Linked DNA regions of Saccharomyces cerevisiae S288C. The gene in region 2 interacts genetically with the main gene of each other region. Each region holds a gene or a part of one and is shown on either strand. Other genes may lie near its edges.

Evidence for each region.
Region 1: mutations in AHP1 (region 2) and HYR1 are lethal when combined (synthetic lethality), as found in Saccharomyces cerevisiae (2 studies listed by BioGRID, with this or other methods).
Region 3: mutations in AHP1 (region 2) and PRX1 impair growth when combined (synthetic growth defect), as found in Saccharomyces cerevisiae (one study listed by BioGRID).

Annotation. Positions count from the first base shown.
Region 1 is NC_001141.2:419,791-425,453, reverse strand, and holds HYR1 (peroxiredoxin HYR1), read right to left. Parts: upstream 2,327-5,663; coding exon 1,835-2,326; downstream 1-1,834. Other genes in the region: GTT1 (bifunctional glutathione transferase/peroxidase), read left to right, coding at 941-1,645; sepiapterin reductase family protein IRC24, read left to right, coding at 2,589-3,380; NRE1 (sepiapterin reductase family protein), read left to right, coding at 3,664-4,428; LYS1 (saccharopine dehydrogenase (NAD+, L-lysine-forming)), read left to right, coding at 4,718-5,663. UniProt on the Saccharomyces cerevisiae protein: Involved in oxidative stress response and redox homeostasis. Functions as a sensor and transducer of hydroperoxide stress.
Region 2 is NC_001144.5:365,407-371,108, reverse strand, and holds AHP1 (thioredoxin peroxidase AHP1), read right to left. Parts: upstream 2,329-5,702; coding exon 1,798-2,328; downstream 1-1,797. Other genes in the region: YLR112W (uncharacterized protein), read right to left, coding at 1-318; YLR111W (uncharacterized protein), read right to left, coding at 386-718; CCW12 (Ccw12p), read left to right, coding at 1,011-1,412; YLR108C (uncharacterized protein), read left to right, coding at 2,985-4,442. UniProt on the Saccharomyces cerevisiae protein: Thiol-specific peroxidase that catalyzes the reduction of hydrogen peroxide and organic hydroperoxides to water and alcohols, respectively.
Region 3 is NC_001134.8:98,034-103,990, forward strand, and holds PRX1 (thioredoxin peroxidase PRX1), read right to left. Parts: upstream 3,124-5,957; coding exon 2,338-3,123; downstream 1-2,337. Other genes in the region: SEF1 (Sef1p), read right to left, coding at 1-2,082; KIP1 (Kip1p), read left to right, coding at 3,853-5,957. UniProt on the Saccharomyces cerevisiae protein: Thiol-specific peroxidase that catalyzes the reduction of hydrogen peroxide and organic hydroperoxides to water and alcohols, respectively.

The DNA.
Region 1 (5,663 bases), on a different chromosome or scaffold from region 2:
GCAAGAAAAGTTATAGCCTACCATCCTGAGCAAATAAAGTTGCTTCCTGCTCAACTTTTTTTTTTCCTTGTATCATTTTATTTTTTTCTTGGCTCGCACTGCGCAGGTGACGGTAAAGAAAACAGGCCAGCTTTCACTTTCTATATATATTACTAGTGCAACCGTACTTATTCTCTTGTAAGGTTACCGTCTATTCATTCCGCTGCTGCTTCTAGTATCCTTAGAATCGTAATTGTTTACGAACAGTTTGTATTGAATCAGCTCCTCTCTTCTTTAGCCAAATACCGTCGGTAAAATGCAGTTCATGGGCACGGAGCAGTGCGTCATCGGTTCTATACGGTAACTTGACATTGCATGGATAAGATCTTTGATAGTAACATACATCTGGCTGGGGGAAATGCATGGCGTTCAGTTTCGGGGTTTGACCTTACTTTTTTGAAGAAGACTTTACTCAAGAGTGTAAGCTCCCTTGGGGGAGGACATATTACGGAAACAGGGTGTCCAAAAAACACCTATTGCGCTTATAACTAGTACATTGCTCAAATGAGGATTTTTACAAGGCTTAGCCCAGCCCGTCTTGTATTGACAAAGTTAAGCACCTCAAGCTCACACCAAAGTGGGCCCTAAGGGTGATCTGTATGCCAAGGCTAGCCTAATAGGAAAACCACCACCGGCAGTTACAACCTCCGTTAGCAACAGAGGGGGTGCCTCGCAATAGCCAAGGATAAGCCCCTCCTTGTTACTATGACAATCGCACTTTTCATGCTACGGCCATTTACTAATGATTTTCACCTCGTACCCGCTCGCTCCAGTATGGTGAAAATTTAGGGGAAGTGGATAACGTTGAAATACTATGGCAGAATCCTTATATATAAAACGATCGTTGATATTTTTTACAACAACCTAAAATGAGAGGGAAAAGGTAAATCAAGGAAGCATTATGTCGTTGCCAATTATCAAAGTCCATTGGTTGGACCATTCCAGAGCGTTCAGACTTTTGTGGTTATTAGACCATTTGAACCTTGAATATGAAATTGTCCCTTATAAAAGAGATGCTAACTTCCGTGCTCCACCAGAATTAAAGAAAATTCACCCATTAGGAAGATCTCCATTGTTAGAAGTTCAAGACAGAGAAACTGGTAAGAAGAAGATACTTGCCGAGTCCGGTTTCATCTTCCAATATGTCTTGCAGCATTTTGATCATTCACACGTTTTAATGAGCGAAGATGCTGATATTGCAGACCAGATTAACTATTATCTGTTTTATGTAGAAGGTTCCTTGCAACCACCTTTAATGATTGAGTTCATTCTTTCAAAGGTGAAGGATTCTGGTATGCCCTTCCCTATTTCGTACTTGGCAAGAAAAGTGGCAGACAAGATCAGTCAGGCATACTCTAGTGGTGAAGTTAAGAACCAGTTCGACTTTGTGGAGGGTGAAATTTCCAAAAATAACGGCTACCTGGTTGATGGGAAGTTGAGCGGTGCCGATATCTTGATGTCTTTCCCTTTGCAGATGGCGTTTGAAAGAAAGTTTGCCGCACCAGAGGATTATCCTGCCATTTCCAAATGGTTAAAGACCATAACCTCAGAGGAGTCGTATGCTGCTTCTAAGGAAAAGGCGCGTGCTTTAGGTAGCAATTTCTAAACCGTTTTGTTGCGTTCGTACGGCACTAGCAGCCGCGTAATTCGTTCACACACTTCAATACATATGTATGTATACGTATATAGTCTGTTGCGACACATAATAATTGACAGGTTTGACTAGCGAGTATGTATTATCAGGAAATATAAAAGAAAACTAAGCTTTACCTAACTTCAAAAGAAGAAGACCTGCCTATTCCACCTCTTTCAAAAGTTCTTCGATGGTTTCGGACAACGAAGAAGGTTTGGTTAGTGAAGAGTATCTTTCGTACACTTTACCCTTTTTATCGACTAAGAATTTTTCAAAATTCCATTTGATACCTCTCAAGCCCAACATACCGGATTTTTGGCTCTTCAAAAACTTGTAAACAGGGTCCTCATTGCCACCATTAACGTCAATTTTTTTCATAATGGGGAAAGTCACGCCATAGTTCAGTTGGCAGAACTGGGCAATTTCTTCATCAGAGCCAGGTTCTTGGTGGCCAAACTGGTTGCATGGGAACCCGATGATGGTAAATCCTTCGTCCTTATAACGTTTGTACAAGGCCTCTAGTTCTTTGTATTGAGGAGTGAATCCACATTTGGAGGCAACATTAACGATAAGCACCACTTTTCCCTTTAATTGGTCGAAGGGGAATGGTTGGCCTTTCTTGTCAACAGGTGCTAGCTTATAGAATTCTGACATGATAAACTTGAATACTTTACGAGATGACAGCTTGGAAGAGAGAGACGTGGAAAGCTCTGATGCTGTTTTTATTACTATTGCTTTTCCGATATTAAGGGAGCATACTGTTCCTCATGGTTTTTTCCCTCTTTTTTTCACTTTTTGACCTTTTTCGTAAAGTGGCTAAAAACGATAATGCAGAAAAAGAAGAAGGAATACAGGAAATAAGGGCTGTCGCGAACAGCAACAAGAGAAACAACTTATAATCTGTCAAAGAAGGGATATGGGCAAGGTTATTTTGATTACAGGTGCCTCCCGTGGGATTGGCCTGCAATTGGTGAAAACTGTTATCGAAGAGGACGATGAATGCATCGTCTACGGCGTAGCAAGAACGGAAGCTGGTCTGCAGTCTTTGCAAAGAGAATACGGTGCAGACAAATTTGTCTATCGTGTCCTCGACATCACGGACAGGTCTCGAATGGAAGCGTTGGTGGAGGAAATCCGGCAAAAGCATGGAAAACTGGACGGTATTGTCGCAAATGCGGGGATGCTAGAACCGGTGAAGTCCATCTCCCAGTCCAACTCCGAACACGACATCAAGCAGTGGGAACGGCTGTTCGATGTGAACTTTTTCAGCATTGTCTCTTTGGTGGCACTGTGTTTACCCCTCTTGAAGAGCTCGCCATTTGTAGGCAACATTGTCTTCGTCAGCTCTGGAGCCAGTGTGAAACCATATAACGGATGGTCGGCGTACGGCTGCTCGAAAGCCGCATTAAACCACTTTGCCATGGACATTGCCAGTGAAGAGCCCAGTGATAAAGTGCGTGCCGTGTGTATTGCACCGGGCGTCGTTGACACGCAGATGCAGAAAGATATTAGGGAAACATTGGGTCCTCAGGGCATGACACCCAAGGCTCTCGAGAGGTTTACTCAATTGTACAAGACTTCGTCACTGCTGGACCCAAAGGTGCCTGCGGCGGTACTAGCGCAACTCGTCCTGAAAGGTATTCCCGACTCTTTGAACGGTCAATATCTCCGCTACAACGATGAGCGACTGGGGCCGGTGCAGGGCTAGTACTAAACTATATTATGTAAAAGGGTATAGTTATAGTTTTTAGCTACTAAACTTTTATTGGGTTTGCGATGAGCGACAGTTTTGTGCGGCCATTTCTGTGCCAAGAACCGGATTGAATGTATCACCGAAGGAATTCCGCGGTGTTTTCAAAGAAATGAAGAGAAGACAGTATGAACATTAACTTTTGCATATATATACGTAAACGAAAAAGATCAAGTGCAATGGAAGAATATTGTACCTAAAAAAAAGGGTCTAACTACAGCGTGTAACAGGTTAAAAAAACATGGGTAAAGTTATTTTAGTTACAGGTGTTTCCAGAGGTATCGGTAAGTCCATCGTGGATGTTCTTTTCAGTTTGGACAAGGACACGGTTGTTTACGGTGTAGCCAGGTCTGAGGCACCCTTGAAGAAGTTGAAAGAGAAGTATGGCGACAGGTTTTTTTACGTTGTCGGTGATATTACCGAGGATTCCGTGTTGAAGCAGTTGGTTAACGCTGCTGTTAAGGGCCACGGCAAGATCGACTCCTTGGTTGCCAACGCTGGTGTCCTAGAGCCCGTGCAAAATGTCAACGAGATTGATGTCAACGCTTGGAAGAAGCTGTATGACATCAACTTCTTCAGCATTGTTTCCTTGGTTGGCATTGCGTTACCTGAATTGAAGAAGACCAACGGTAACGTGGTATTCGTCAGTTCGGACGCCTGTAACATGTACTTCAGCAGTTGGGGAGCTTACGGTTCTTCAAAAGCCGCTCTGAACCACTTCGCCATGACTCTGGCCAACGAGGAAAGGCAAGTGAAAGCCATTGCCGTCGCCCCAGGTATTGTGGACACAGATATGCAAGTTAACATTAGGGAGAACGTGGGGCCTTCCTCCATGAGTGCAGAGCAATTGAAGATGTTTAGAGGTTTAAAGGAGAATAACCAGTTGCTGGATAGCTCTGTGCCAGCTACAGTTTATGCCAAATTGGCCCTTCATGGTATTCCTGACGGTGTTAATGGACAGTACTTGAGCTATAATGACCCTGCCTTGGCGGACTTTATGCCTTGAGGATAGCAGGTACATATAAATTGTTACATACTAAGTCGATGAGTCAAAAAAGACTCTTATACATTTATACATTTTGCATTATTATTTTTTTTTTCCAGCGGAATTTGGAATTCCGCTCTCAACCGCCAAAATTCCCCTGCGATTTCAGCGACAAAGAGTCATAAAGTCATCCTCGAGAAACCACGATGAAATATATAAAAAGCCCATCTTCCCTGACGGAAACTGGTATTTTAGGAGGCATACCATAAGATAACAACGAAAACGCTTTATTTTTCACACAACCGCAAAAATGGCTGCCGTCACATTACATCTAAGAGCTGAAACTAAACCCCTAGAGGCACGTGCTGCCTTAACACCTACCACGGTTAAAAAACTGATAGCTAAGGGCTTCAAAATATATGTAGAGGACAGTCCACAATCTACTTTCAATATTAACGAATATCGTCAAGCAGGTGCCATTATAGTGCCTGCAGGTTCATGGAAAACCGCTCCACGCGACAGAATCATTATAGGTTTGAAGGAAATGCCTGAAACCGATACTTTCCCTCTAGTCCACGAACACATCCAGTTTGCTCACTGCTACAAAGACCAAGCTGGGTGGCAAAATGTCCTTATGAGATTTATTAAGGGACACGGTACTCTATATGATTTGGAATTTTTGGAAAATGACCAAGGTAGAAGAGTTGCTGCCTTTGGATTTTACGCTGGGTTCGCAGGTGCAGCCCTTGGTGTAAGAGACTGGGCATTCAAGCAAACGCATTCTGACGATGAAGACTTGCCTGCAGTGTCGCCTTACCCCAATGAAAAGGCATTGGTTAAAGATGTTACCAAAGATTATAAAGAAGCCTTAGCCACCGGAGCCAGAAAGCCAACCGTGTTAATCATTGGTGCGCTAGGAAGATGTGGTTCCGGTGCCATCGATCTGTTGCACAAAGTTGGTATTCCAGATGCTAACATATTAAAATGGGATATCAAAGAAACTTCCCGTGGTGGTCCCTTTGACGAAATTCCACAAGCTGATATTTTTATCAATTGTATATATCTATCGAAGCCAATTGCTCCTTTCACTAACATGGAGAAACTGAATAATCCTAACAGAAGACTAAGGACCGTGGTGGACGTATCAGCAGACACTACCAACCCTCACAACCCCATCCCAATATACACTGTGGCTACTGTGTTTAACAAACCTACCGTTCTGGTACCTACCACTGCCGGGCCTAAATTATCTGTCA
Region 2 (5,702 bases):
TTGTCTTTTAAACCAGGGCAAAGCAAAATAAAAGAAACTTAATACGTTATGCCGTAATGAAGGGCTACCAAAAACGATAATCTCAACTGTAAACAGGTACAATGCGGACCCTTTTGCCACAAAACATACATCATTCATTGCCGGAAAAAGAAAGAAGTGAAGACAGCAGTGCAGCCAGCCATGTTGCGCCAATCTAATTATAGATGCTGGTGCCCTGAGGATGTATCTGGAGCCAGCCATGGCATCATGCGCTACCGCCGGATGTAAAATCCGACACGCAAAAGAAAACCTTCGAGGTTGCGCACTTCGCCCACCCATGAACCACACGGTTAGTCCAAAAGGGGCAGTTCAGATTCCAGATGCGGGAATTAGCTTGCTGCCACCCTCACCTCACTAACGCTGCGGTGTGCGGATACTTCATGCTATTTATAGACGCGCGTGTCGGAATCAGCACGCGCAAGAACCAAATGGGAAAATCGGAATGGGTCCAGAACTGCTTTGAGTGCTGGCTATTGGCGTCTGATTTCCGTTTTGGGAATCCTTTGCCGCGCGCCCCTCTCAAAACTCCGCACAAGTCCCAGAAAGCGGGAAAGAAATAAAACGCCACCAAAAAAAAAAAAATAAAAGCCAATCCTCGAAGCGTGGGTGGTAGGCCCTGGATTATCCCGTACAAGTATTTCTCAGGAGTAAAAAAACCGTTTGTTTTGGAATTCCCCATTTCGCGGCCACCTACGCCGCTATCTTTGCAACAACTATCTGCGATAACTCAGCAAATTTTGCATATTCGTGTTGCAGTATTGCGATAATGGGAGTCTTACTTCCAACATAACGGCAGAAAGAAATGTGAGAAAATTTTGCATCCTTTGCCTCCGTTCAAGTATATAAAGTCGGCATGCTTGATAATCTTTCTTTCCATCCTACATTGTTCTAATTATTCTTATTCTCCTTTATTCTTTCCTAACATACCAAGAAATTAATCTTCTGTCATTCGCTTAAACACTATATCAATAATGCAATTTTCTACTGTCGCTTCTATCGCCGCTGTCGCCGCTGTCGCTTCTGCCGCTGCTAACGTTACCACTGCTACTGTCAGCCAAGAATCTACCACTTTGGTCACCATCACTTCTTGTGAAGACCACGTCTGTTCTGAAACTGTCTCCCCAGCTTTGGTTTCCACCGCTACCGTCACCGTCGATGACGTTATCACTCAATACACCACCTGGTGCCCATTGACCACTGAAGCCCCAAAGAACGGTACTTCTACTGCTGCTCCAGTTACCTCTACTGAAGCTCCAAAGAACACCACCTCTGCTGCTCCAACTCACTCTGTCACCTCTTACACTGGTGCTGCTGCTAAGGCTTTGCCAGCTGCTGGTGCTTTGTTGGCTGGTGCCGCTGCTTTGTTGTTGTAAACTTAGTTTATTATTATTTATACATTCTAAATTTTTTATAAACTTTTTTGGCATTTAACAAATATATAACAATTGGGATTTAGTAGAAATTCTTTTAATTTCTTCTTTTTTTTTTTAATCTATATTTATTCTTTTTCTTTAATTTTGTTCGAAACGCATATAATGTTTTTATTGATTTTGTTTCAGGTTCCTGAACCTCGCGGAGTTCCTATTTTACTGTTGTTTTTTTTCAAAACACAGGGGTACCTTGAAGTATACGCAGTGCCTCTTAGCCAAGGATAATATAAACACACTAGAACAAAAAAAAAATACTCCTTGTACAGAATCGTTTTCTATTTTGAATTTTTTTTATATAAACATGGTTTTATTGTCTATTACATAGCATCTACAAATGAGCCAAGACACTTTCGACTGAGGAAACGGTCACATCGGTACCTGGGTTGGTTTCCTTGGCAGCGTAAGTAACGATACCGTTTTCAACAACCATGGCCCATCTACCACTCCAGTAAACACCGTCACCGACGGCTAATTCGAAACCAATGGATTTGGTGAAAGCACAGCCTGGGTCGGAGGCAAACTTGATGTGTGTGGTGTCCTTAACACCTAAACTCTTAGCCCACGCTTGGTTAGCGAACGGGTTGTCAACAGTAACAACGATCACTTGGTCAACTTCCTTTTCCTTAACTAATTCATCCAAGTAGTTGATGTAACCTGGAATATGGCTGACAGTACAGGTTGGGGAGAAAGCAGCTGGAGCACCGGTAATGATAACCTTCTTGTTTTCAGAAATTAATTTGGACCATTCAACTGTTTGTGGCATCTTACAAGATTCACTGTCAGCATCACTTTGGCTGATAGCAATGTATTGGAATTTGTAGTCGCCAGCTGGGAATTTCTTGTTAACTAAGTCAGACATGTTTTGTTGTGGTTATTGGTAGTACTTGTGTTGTTCTGGTTTGTTGAAATTTCGTTATAAAGAAACGGTATATGCACAATTGGCAAGGGAGAGGAAATTGTGCTCCTTTATATAATGTTTCGTTTATGCTTTTCCCTTACATCTCGTCCTTAATTTTCCACCCCTTTATTTTTCATTTAACCTCTCAACAATATGTGAATACCGTCCGGAAGGGGTGTGGAAAAAGAAAAAGAATGATACAGAAGAAAATCAAAAGATGATATTCAACTTCATCACCAAATACTGACCTTTTTGGCCAGAGCTCCCCGTATAATTACAAATCAGAAAAAATCCGCGCTCACTACCTTAACGGAAGGAAATATTCCACATGTCGGATTAATTTTTCTCTGGTCCCATGACCATGTGCCGAAATCTTTTCAGTGACGTCAGGACCGGTTTTTCCGAGAGCCCCACAGGGGACGCCGATGATTTAGGGTTCTTTTCTTGATTACTAATAGACAACATAAGCGCAATAGATCGAGGCCAAGGTGGTGGTTTATAAATTGTATTACCTTAAAGGCTCATTATTAGCTTGAACACGAATATCCAAAGAACACGAACAACTTCAGGACGTGGATAGACAAGTGTAAAGTCACTCACACGCACGCTCATATCAGATGTCTGGCCAAAAGGGCGAGATCGTGGTTTATACAAAAGAGTTAGAAACTACCCCCGAGCTTTTACCAAACCATGAAGTTTTCAAGATTAGGATTGGCCAAAAGCTATTTGAGATCTCAGGTGCTACATTGAATTCGGATGCGCCCAATTTTTTCACCCAATTCTTCAATACGCACGATAAAAATACGATTCTATTTGTTGATAGATCGGAAGACGTGTTCATCATAATATACAGACATTTACAAGGTTATTTTCCCGATATTAAGAACGAAGTACAATTTACCTGTCTTTTCGCGGACGCATTATATTTTCAGTTACCCAAGTTAGTTAAACTCATAAAAGAATACGACTACCACTTCACTAATATTGGAGGTGTTCCCTTTAAGGTACCAAAATCATTATTCCATGAAGAAGGGAACCGGTTGAACTATTTTGAAACGATTTCTCGCATATCTTATGAGGAAATTGAGAAGTGGGAGTCAAATAAGAAGCCGGGCTTTCCACCTTTATTACCACCCTCATATATTGCAAGGTCCCCAGAATTTTTCCGAGATATATTATCTTTACTGGGCGGTTCCAAATTAGAACTGTCTGAGGAAAGAACCGCATCTCTGATAAAAGAGTGTCGTTATTACCGTCTCAACAGGTTGGAGCAGGAATTAGTGCGGGCAAAAATTATATATAATCCCTTAACTAATTGTCAAGAAGTTTGCATAGCTCTTGATAGCGTCTCCAAGAAGGGTGTAACCATTGAAAGGTTAACATCACTTCATACCGGAAACCAATCTTTAGCGGTAAGCAGTTGTCTCAATGGAACTGAGGGTGAAAAAGCCGCTACTGGATTTCATAAAACCGAGACTGATTCAGGCAACAATGATGAATATGAACCTCCAACAAAAAAGGTAAAACATTGTATTGAAAGACACTGGAGCATGTTAAAATACCAAAGGCCTTATATCGATACAGTTTCGCACGATCTTATTTTCCAATTACACTCTAACCAGTGCAAAATAATATTCAACAAAAAGAATAAGACTGTTCATGTAGACCTATCCAGAGAGGCTGCAGTGTTGTTTGAAAACAAGTTCTCGGATGTTTTATTGGAAAACCCAGATTTTAAAATTGATCTGTCCGAATATAAGGTCAAACTTCGTGACAGTCAAATGCAAGTTGAATCCCACTTAATTATTCCTGCATGTGTCTCCATTTGTGACTTGACGGTAAATGGCGCAAAATGCTGTAATATTTTCTCATTAGTTAACGACTCCAAATGTAAAGGGAGGGTCTTGGATTGCACCAATTTGAAAGTTTTGAATTGCGTTCATGGTTTGAAACTACACTTATCGAAATCCATGTGGAAGCTAGGTACAAATAATGGAAGAATCATTCTCGTTGCTGTAAAAGCCGAAACCTTCTCTGGGACGAAGGAATATTGCAAAATGATTGATTTTCTGTGAAATCTTCAATAAAAAAACCTTTCTCTTCTGTTTGACATATATAATTTAAATGGATCGTTCAGAGTATGATCGTACCATTGCATAGCTGTAACAATATTCACATTCATAAAGCACATAAGTACTAATAGCATTCTTACGCACTAAAATGAATCACGCGGTCTTCTATGTTCAACCGATAGCAAAGGCTTAGGTTCGAACGCGAGACAATTTTCTATTCGAGATGTTAGTTATCTATATCATACAGGAAGATAAAGATACACTGCTGTACGCTGGGTATCTTCAAATGTACAAGTCACGATACTTCACTCGATGATAAAAAAAAAACGAAATAAATCTCTTTGTAAAACGGTTCATCCTTATGCAGGGGAACTGCTGATCATCTCTGTATTGTTTCAAATTGACCAAATGTCCACGAAGGGTTACTTCGCGAACACATAGTTGCGAAAAAAACATTTATTTATAGTAGCCGAAAATAGTGGACGAAATACTTTTACCACTGTTCATGCCAGGCTGTGTTGAAACTGTTGCAATGAAACTCTAAAGTATCATCGATTCAGTAGTATTCATGCTACTGGTATAGTATCACATGAGGTCCAGGAAGATGACATAAAAATTGAGAAACAGTCATTAAGTCTAATGGAAGCTGAAATGCAAGGATTGATAATGTAATAGGATAATGAATTATATAAAACTAAAAGAGGAATAATCTCAATACTATTATGTAGAAATATATCGATTCCATTGTGAGCATTCCTATATCCTCGGAGAGAACATTTAGTATCTTCTATATACCTAATATTATTGCGTTTACGAACAATGGAATCCCAACAATTATCAAGTTATTCCCCCAATTCTCAGACAGTCATGGTAGCAATATAAATTCTGAAATTATATTGTGTACAAATATACGTATAGCATTTATTAGTGCTGGAGATTATAAATAACAGAACTATTATGGAGAATTATCGATCATACTTTACCGTTTAGATGTTTTATGTTGTCTTTTAATGCCGCATGCAATACTTTTTTAGATTAAACTTAAAATTAACTTGTTCTGGTAATTACTGACGGATAACAGGTACTTCTTTAAATAGGATTATGGTGCTTCAGCTATCATCAAGTTTGGTACATCCTGAACCCAATTTCACGATATTTTAATATTCAGATATTGAAAAGGTGCATTATTATTGTTCGCTTAAATACAGAAAATAGGAAAGCAATACGAAATCATTACTTTTATCATGTTGTTTCTTAACGTAA
Region 3 (5,957 bases), on a different chromosome or scaffold from region 2:
CAACTGCAATTTAAAGAGAATCAGTGCAGAAAATGTAGCAGCTTGTCTAATATAAATAGGCAGTTCAATTAATTGGTGTGTTTCTAAAAGATTATTCAATAGAGTGACAATTTTAGTAGCTGTTAGATAGGCCTCTGTGACATATGGAATTTGATCGGTAGGAGGTGTTTCGGGTAGGAATGCAAAACAACAGACAGTTAATTTAACATAAAGAAAATAAATGTTGACAGTATCGTCACTCTGGAAATTTAAAGTTTTTGCTAATAAATCTAACTCTTTTCCCAAGATGGACAGTGTCTCAGCACGATACTTTGGTTCCAATAAACCATCAGGACTGGAAGTGGAAGAACCAATGATATGAGACAATTTTGCTTGGAAATTCGCCAGGCTGAGCAATCTTCTAAAACTGCCCGGTAGTTTGTATTTACTTTCAACGTGCGGCTCGTCTTTCTTGTTCCTTTTATCATTGTTGTTATTGTCAATACTGTCATTGTTATCTTCTTCTGATTCTTCGTCACCACAGGATAAGGCTTTTTCTAATAAATAGTCTGTCTGTGAAGTTGGTGGCAAACCAAGGATACTCGCCCAACAAAGTTCGGCAAAAAATATTCCCAGCCAAGTCCTAGTTCTCCACTTTTCTGCATTTGGCATTGATGTTTGAGTTCTTGTGAATTCAGAAATGAATTCACCTCTGTGCAAACCTAATTGATAAGACAGTGACTTTGCTAATCCTACAAAACGGTAAGAACAATCATCTAGGACTTTTTGGTTAGGCAAAGGCCAAATGCACAATATTAACAAAGCTTGCGAAATATGTGTGGATCTAGGTGTTCTTATCCAGCAGGTCTCTATGGCAAGTTGCTTGATCAAAGAGCTTAGCTTGCAATACATCGTCGGTTCAGGATCAGACAGACATGCCGTCAACATCACGGTCCAGAAAAGCAACTGAGATTGGGAGTATAATTCGGTGGCGTTATTGGAATACATAATAGGAAAATACGGCAGATACCTAGTCACGAAAATATGGTGTAATCTATTCGCTTTTTCAATGGAAATACTAATATCGCCCAGTACAAACTCATCTACATTTGCATGCGGCGAAGGCAATAATGGCATAGTCGTGGTGGTGGCTACTACCGGCGTCTTCGTCCTATCTGCATTGTTATTTGTTGCTACGTGGCTTGTTGCTGCAAATGGTGGTTGATTTGTTGTCGTTGTAACGGTGGTCGACGTAGTATGAGGGGAATATGTTTTTTGAATTGGAGAGAAGGGGCCGTTCGGAGTGTTACCTGCAGAGTTGTTCTTATAAAAAGCCATTTGCAAAGCAGGAGGTAAAGATTCTTTTGAATTATTAGGCAATGCTGAGTCATTTAGCAGCGGGGGCAGCTTATTTGGCTCTGTTGCAACCAAGCCTTTCGAATCTTGCGCTAAAGAAGATGCGCGCAACGTCATGTGAGAAGATGCTTCATTATTTGCTTTAAATTTATTCGTATTGCTGCCCTGATTTGCTTGTAAGAGTTGGGGTTCCCTGGACAAATAAGTTTGAACTGAAACCTTAGAATCTCGTTGAGCCGCGGAAGAAGTTGGAGAACCTGAGGAAGGAGAAGAATCTGGGTTAGGGATAATAGTACCCGGAGTTGGAGTTGGATGCAGATTGAGCTTATTCAAAAGGCTATTGCCCATGGGAATCTGTTGTAAAAGATGAACGAAAACGCTGTCATTGGCCAGAAGAGTATCGAGTTTAGATTTGATTTCATCCACATCTTGTCTCAGTAGTTGCAACTGTGAGCCCTTCTTAGGCCTGAATTGAGGATTGATTTCACAGTGGAGACCAATTTTTTCGCATCTGGAGCAAGGATGAGGGAAATTTTGACTAGCATCGCATTTGATTTTGTGCTGTCTACAATGTGTACATGAGGTAACTGGTCTATGGTTGATTTGATGACTGTCATCATGGTGAGATATTCGTTGTTTCTTACTTGGGAACTGGTGCTGTTGCAACTGTTGCTGCTCCGGTTGTCTTTTCATGTGAGCAGAACTAAAATCTTGGTCTTGGTCAGAATCTCGATTATCCTTCACCATGACGAGAATGCGTATACGCAGAGCCAATATAATCTGTATACGGGACCTTTGACATTAAGGTTTCTGCAGAGAGTTTATTACATGCATTTTCATATATATATTTTTAACGCCATTCCTTTACGGTATGTAAAGAAAAATGATCCAATGAGCGGCCCTTCGTACGAGATGAGATATAATAAGAATGAAAGATAGATAAAAGTTTTAGTTAGAGATACTTCATATACCTGTATATAGTAAAGTCGTTTATTTCAAAGCTTATTTCGACTTGGTGAATCTTAAATAGGGTTTAATTTCATTAAATTGACCAAATTTAGCCTTCGCCTCATCATTGGAGACAGAGGGAGGAATAATGACATCGTCAGCTGGCTGCCAATTAATTGGAGTTACTACGCCCTCCTTGTCAGTCAATTGCAAGGCGTCGATTACCCTTAACACTTCAGAAGTGTTTCTTCCGACGGTGGAAGGGTAGGTAAAAATCAGTCTAATCTTCTTCTTGGGATCGATGACGAAAACAGACCTCACGGTCTTCAGTGACCCATCATTGATATTTTTGAATCCTTCGGCATCTACCATATCATATAGGAATGCCACGTTTCTAAAAGTGTCACCAATTATTGGGAAACCAACATTTTTAACCTTTGCTATTTCCTTGATGTCTTGAATCCATTTTTCGTGGGACTCAACATCTTCCACTGAAAGCCCGATCAATTTAACATTTCTCTTGTCGAATTCCGGCTTCAATTTGGCGAATGCGCTGACTTCGGTGGTGCAGACAGGGGTGAAATCTGCTGGGTGAGAAAACAAGACCCCCCAAGAGTCGCCCAAGTAGTCGTAAAAATTGATTTTACCAACCGTTGTGTCAGCATCAAAGTTAGGAGCATCAGAGTTTATTCTTAGTCTTGGTTGATCACTTTGTTTGAATTGTTTGCACAGAATAGGTGCTGTGGCAAATGTTTTAATCGTCTGTGATTGCAAGTGAGCCTGCTTAGGAAGGGTCCATGCCGTCCTCTTTAATTGAGCGCTACAAATTCTACTAAACATCCTTTGCTTCCTGCTTCTTTGAAATTTATCTCATCCTACTGCGAGAATCTAGAAGCACAATTTTCTATATCTCTCCTTCTCTCTTTATATACCAATAGCAGCAACATCCGGCCCCTTGTTTCTTTACGTAATTAAAAATCTCCGGGGCTAGCTTTTGCCGGGGAACCCATCCCGAAAAAATTGCAAAAAAAAAAATAGCCGCCGACCGTTGGTCGCTATTCACGGAATGATAGAAAAATAGCCGCGCTGCTCGTCCTGGGTGACCTTTTGTATATTGTATAAAGATAAACATAGTGCTATCAGGAATATCTTTATATACACACGCATACTGAATGTGGTTGAAGTTCAAAAAATATCACAAACGTTAAGAAGTTTTACTGGTAAACATATAGACATAGTGGAGCGCTTGCTCGAGGTCAAATGCAGACGGATACGAGAGCGCGGGAGGGAAACCGGAGAAGGTCAATATGCCCATAATTCTTCTTCTTTGAGGTTGGCAATTATATATTGTATCTGAATTAGGCAAATAGAAAAGAGACCTTACCATTAGCGCCATCGTAGAGTCCCATTTCACCTTTTCTTAGTTCTTTATATATGTCTGCGTATGGCCCACATATGCGCGCACAGTGCGCGCCACCCTCTAAGAACGATAAACATAAAATAAACACATAAACAATCAACGACAGTTCGCGCTTCCCTCACTAAATATGGCGAGATAGTTAAACAATCATGGCTCGTTCTTCCTTGCCCAACCGCCGCACCGCCCAGTTCGAAGCGAACAAGAGGAGGACCATTGCACATGCTCCATCTCCAAGTCTTTCAAATGGGATGCACACTCTAACGCCGCCCACCTGTAACAATGGTGCTGCCACTTCAGACTCCAATATACATGTATATGTAAGGTGCAGATCGCGTAATAAGCGAGAAATAGAGGAAAAAAGTAGTGTAGTTATATCTACACTAGGCCCACAAGGGAAAGAAATCATTCTGTCCAACGGTTCTCACCAATCGTATTCGTCCTCGAAGAAAACTTACCAATTTGATCAGGTGTTCGGCGCAGAATCTGACCAGGAAACAGTGTTTAATGCCACTGCAAAAAACTACATTAAGGAAATGTTGCACGGGTACAATTGTACAATATTTGCATACGGTCAAACGGGAACAGGTAAAACCTACACTATGTCTGGCGATATAAATATTCTCGGTGATGTGCAATCTACCGATAATCTATTATTAGGAGAGCATGCAGGTATCATACCACGGGTTCTGGTCGATTTGTTTAAAGAATTGAGCTCCTTAAATAAAGAGTACTCCGTAAAAATATCCTTTTTAGAGTTGTACAATGAAAATTTGAAAGATCTGCTCTCTGATAGTGAGGACGATGATCCTGCAGTCAACGATCCCAAGAGGCAGATTCGTATTTTTGACAATAACAACAATAATTCATCCATCATGGTCAAGGGGATGCAGGAAATCTTTATTAACTCTGCACACGAAGGCTTGAATTTGCTAATGCAGGGTTCGTTAAAAAGGAAAGTGGCCGCTACTAAATGCAACGATCTTTCATCAAGGTCTCACACCGTCTTTACAATCACAACAAACATAGTTGAGCAAGATAGCAAAGACCATGGACAAAACAAAAATTTTGTTAAAATTGGCAAATTGAATTTGGTGGATTTGGCAGGCAGTGAAAACATCAACAGATCGGGTGCGGAGAATAAAAGGGCTCAAGAAGCTGGCCTAATAAACAAATCGCTGCTAACACTAGGCCGTGTTATCAACGCACTCGTTGATCATTCTAACCATATACCTTACAGAGAATCTAAGCTAACAAGATTGCTACAAGACTCTTTAGGTGGTATGACGAAAACATGCATTATCGCAACTATATCACCTGCGAAAATATCCATGGAAGAGACTGCAAGTACGCTAGAATATGCAACGAGAGCCAAATCAATTAAGAATACTCCACAAGTAAATCAGTCTTTATCGAAGGATACATGTCTCAAAGACTACATTCAAGAGATTGAAAAATTAAGAAATGATTTGAAAAATTCAAGAAACAAACAAGGTATATTTATAACTCAAGATCAGTTGGACCTTTACGAGAGCAATTCTATCTTGATTGATGAGCAAAATCTAAAAATACATAACCTGCGAGAACAAATTAAAAAATTCAAAGAAAACTACCTGAACCAATTAGATATCAATAATCTTTTACAGTCTGAAAAGGAAAAACTAATTGCCATAATACAGAATTTTAATGTCGATTTTTCTAACTTTTACTCGGAAATCCAAAAAATTCACCATACTAATCTCGAACTAATGAATGAAGTCATACAACAGAGAGATTTTTCACTAGAAAATTCTCAAAAACAGTATAATACGAACCAGAACATGCAATTAAAAATCTCTCAACAAGTTTTACAGACTTTGAACACTTTACAGGGCTCTTTAAATAATTATAACTCTAAATGTTCCGAAGTTATCAAAGGCGTCACCGAAGAACTAACCAGGAACGTAAATACCCATAAGGCGAAACACGATTCTACTCTCAAATCGTTATTAAACATTACTACTAACTTATTGATGAATCAGATGAACGAACTGGTGCGTAGTATTTCGACTTCATTGGAAATATTTCAGAGTGATTCTACTTCTCACTATCGTAAAGATTTGAATGAAATCTACCAATCACATCAACAATTTCTAAAAAATTTACAAAACGATATTAAAAGCTGTCTTGATTCGATAGGCAGTTCAATTCTAACTTCCATAAACGAAATATCGCAAAATTGCACCACTAACTTGAATAGTATGAATGTTTTAATAGA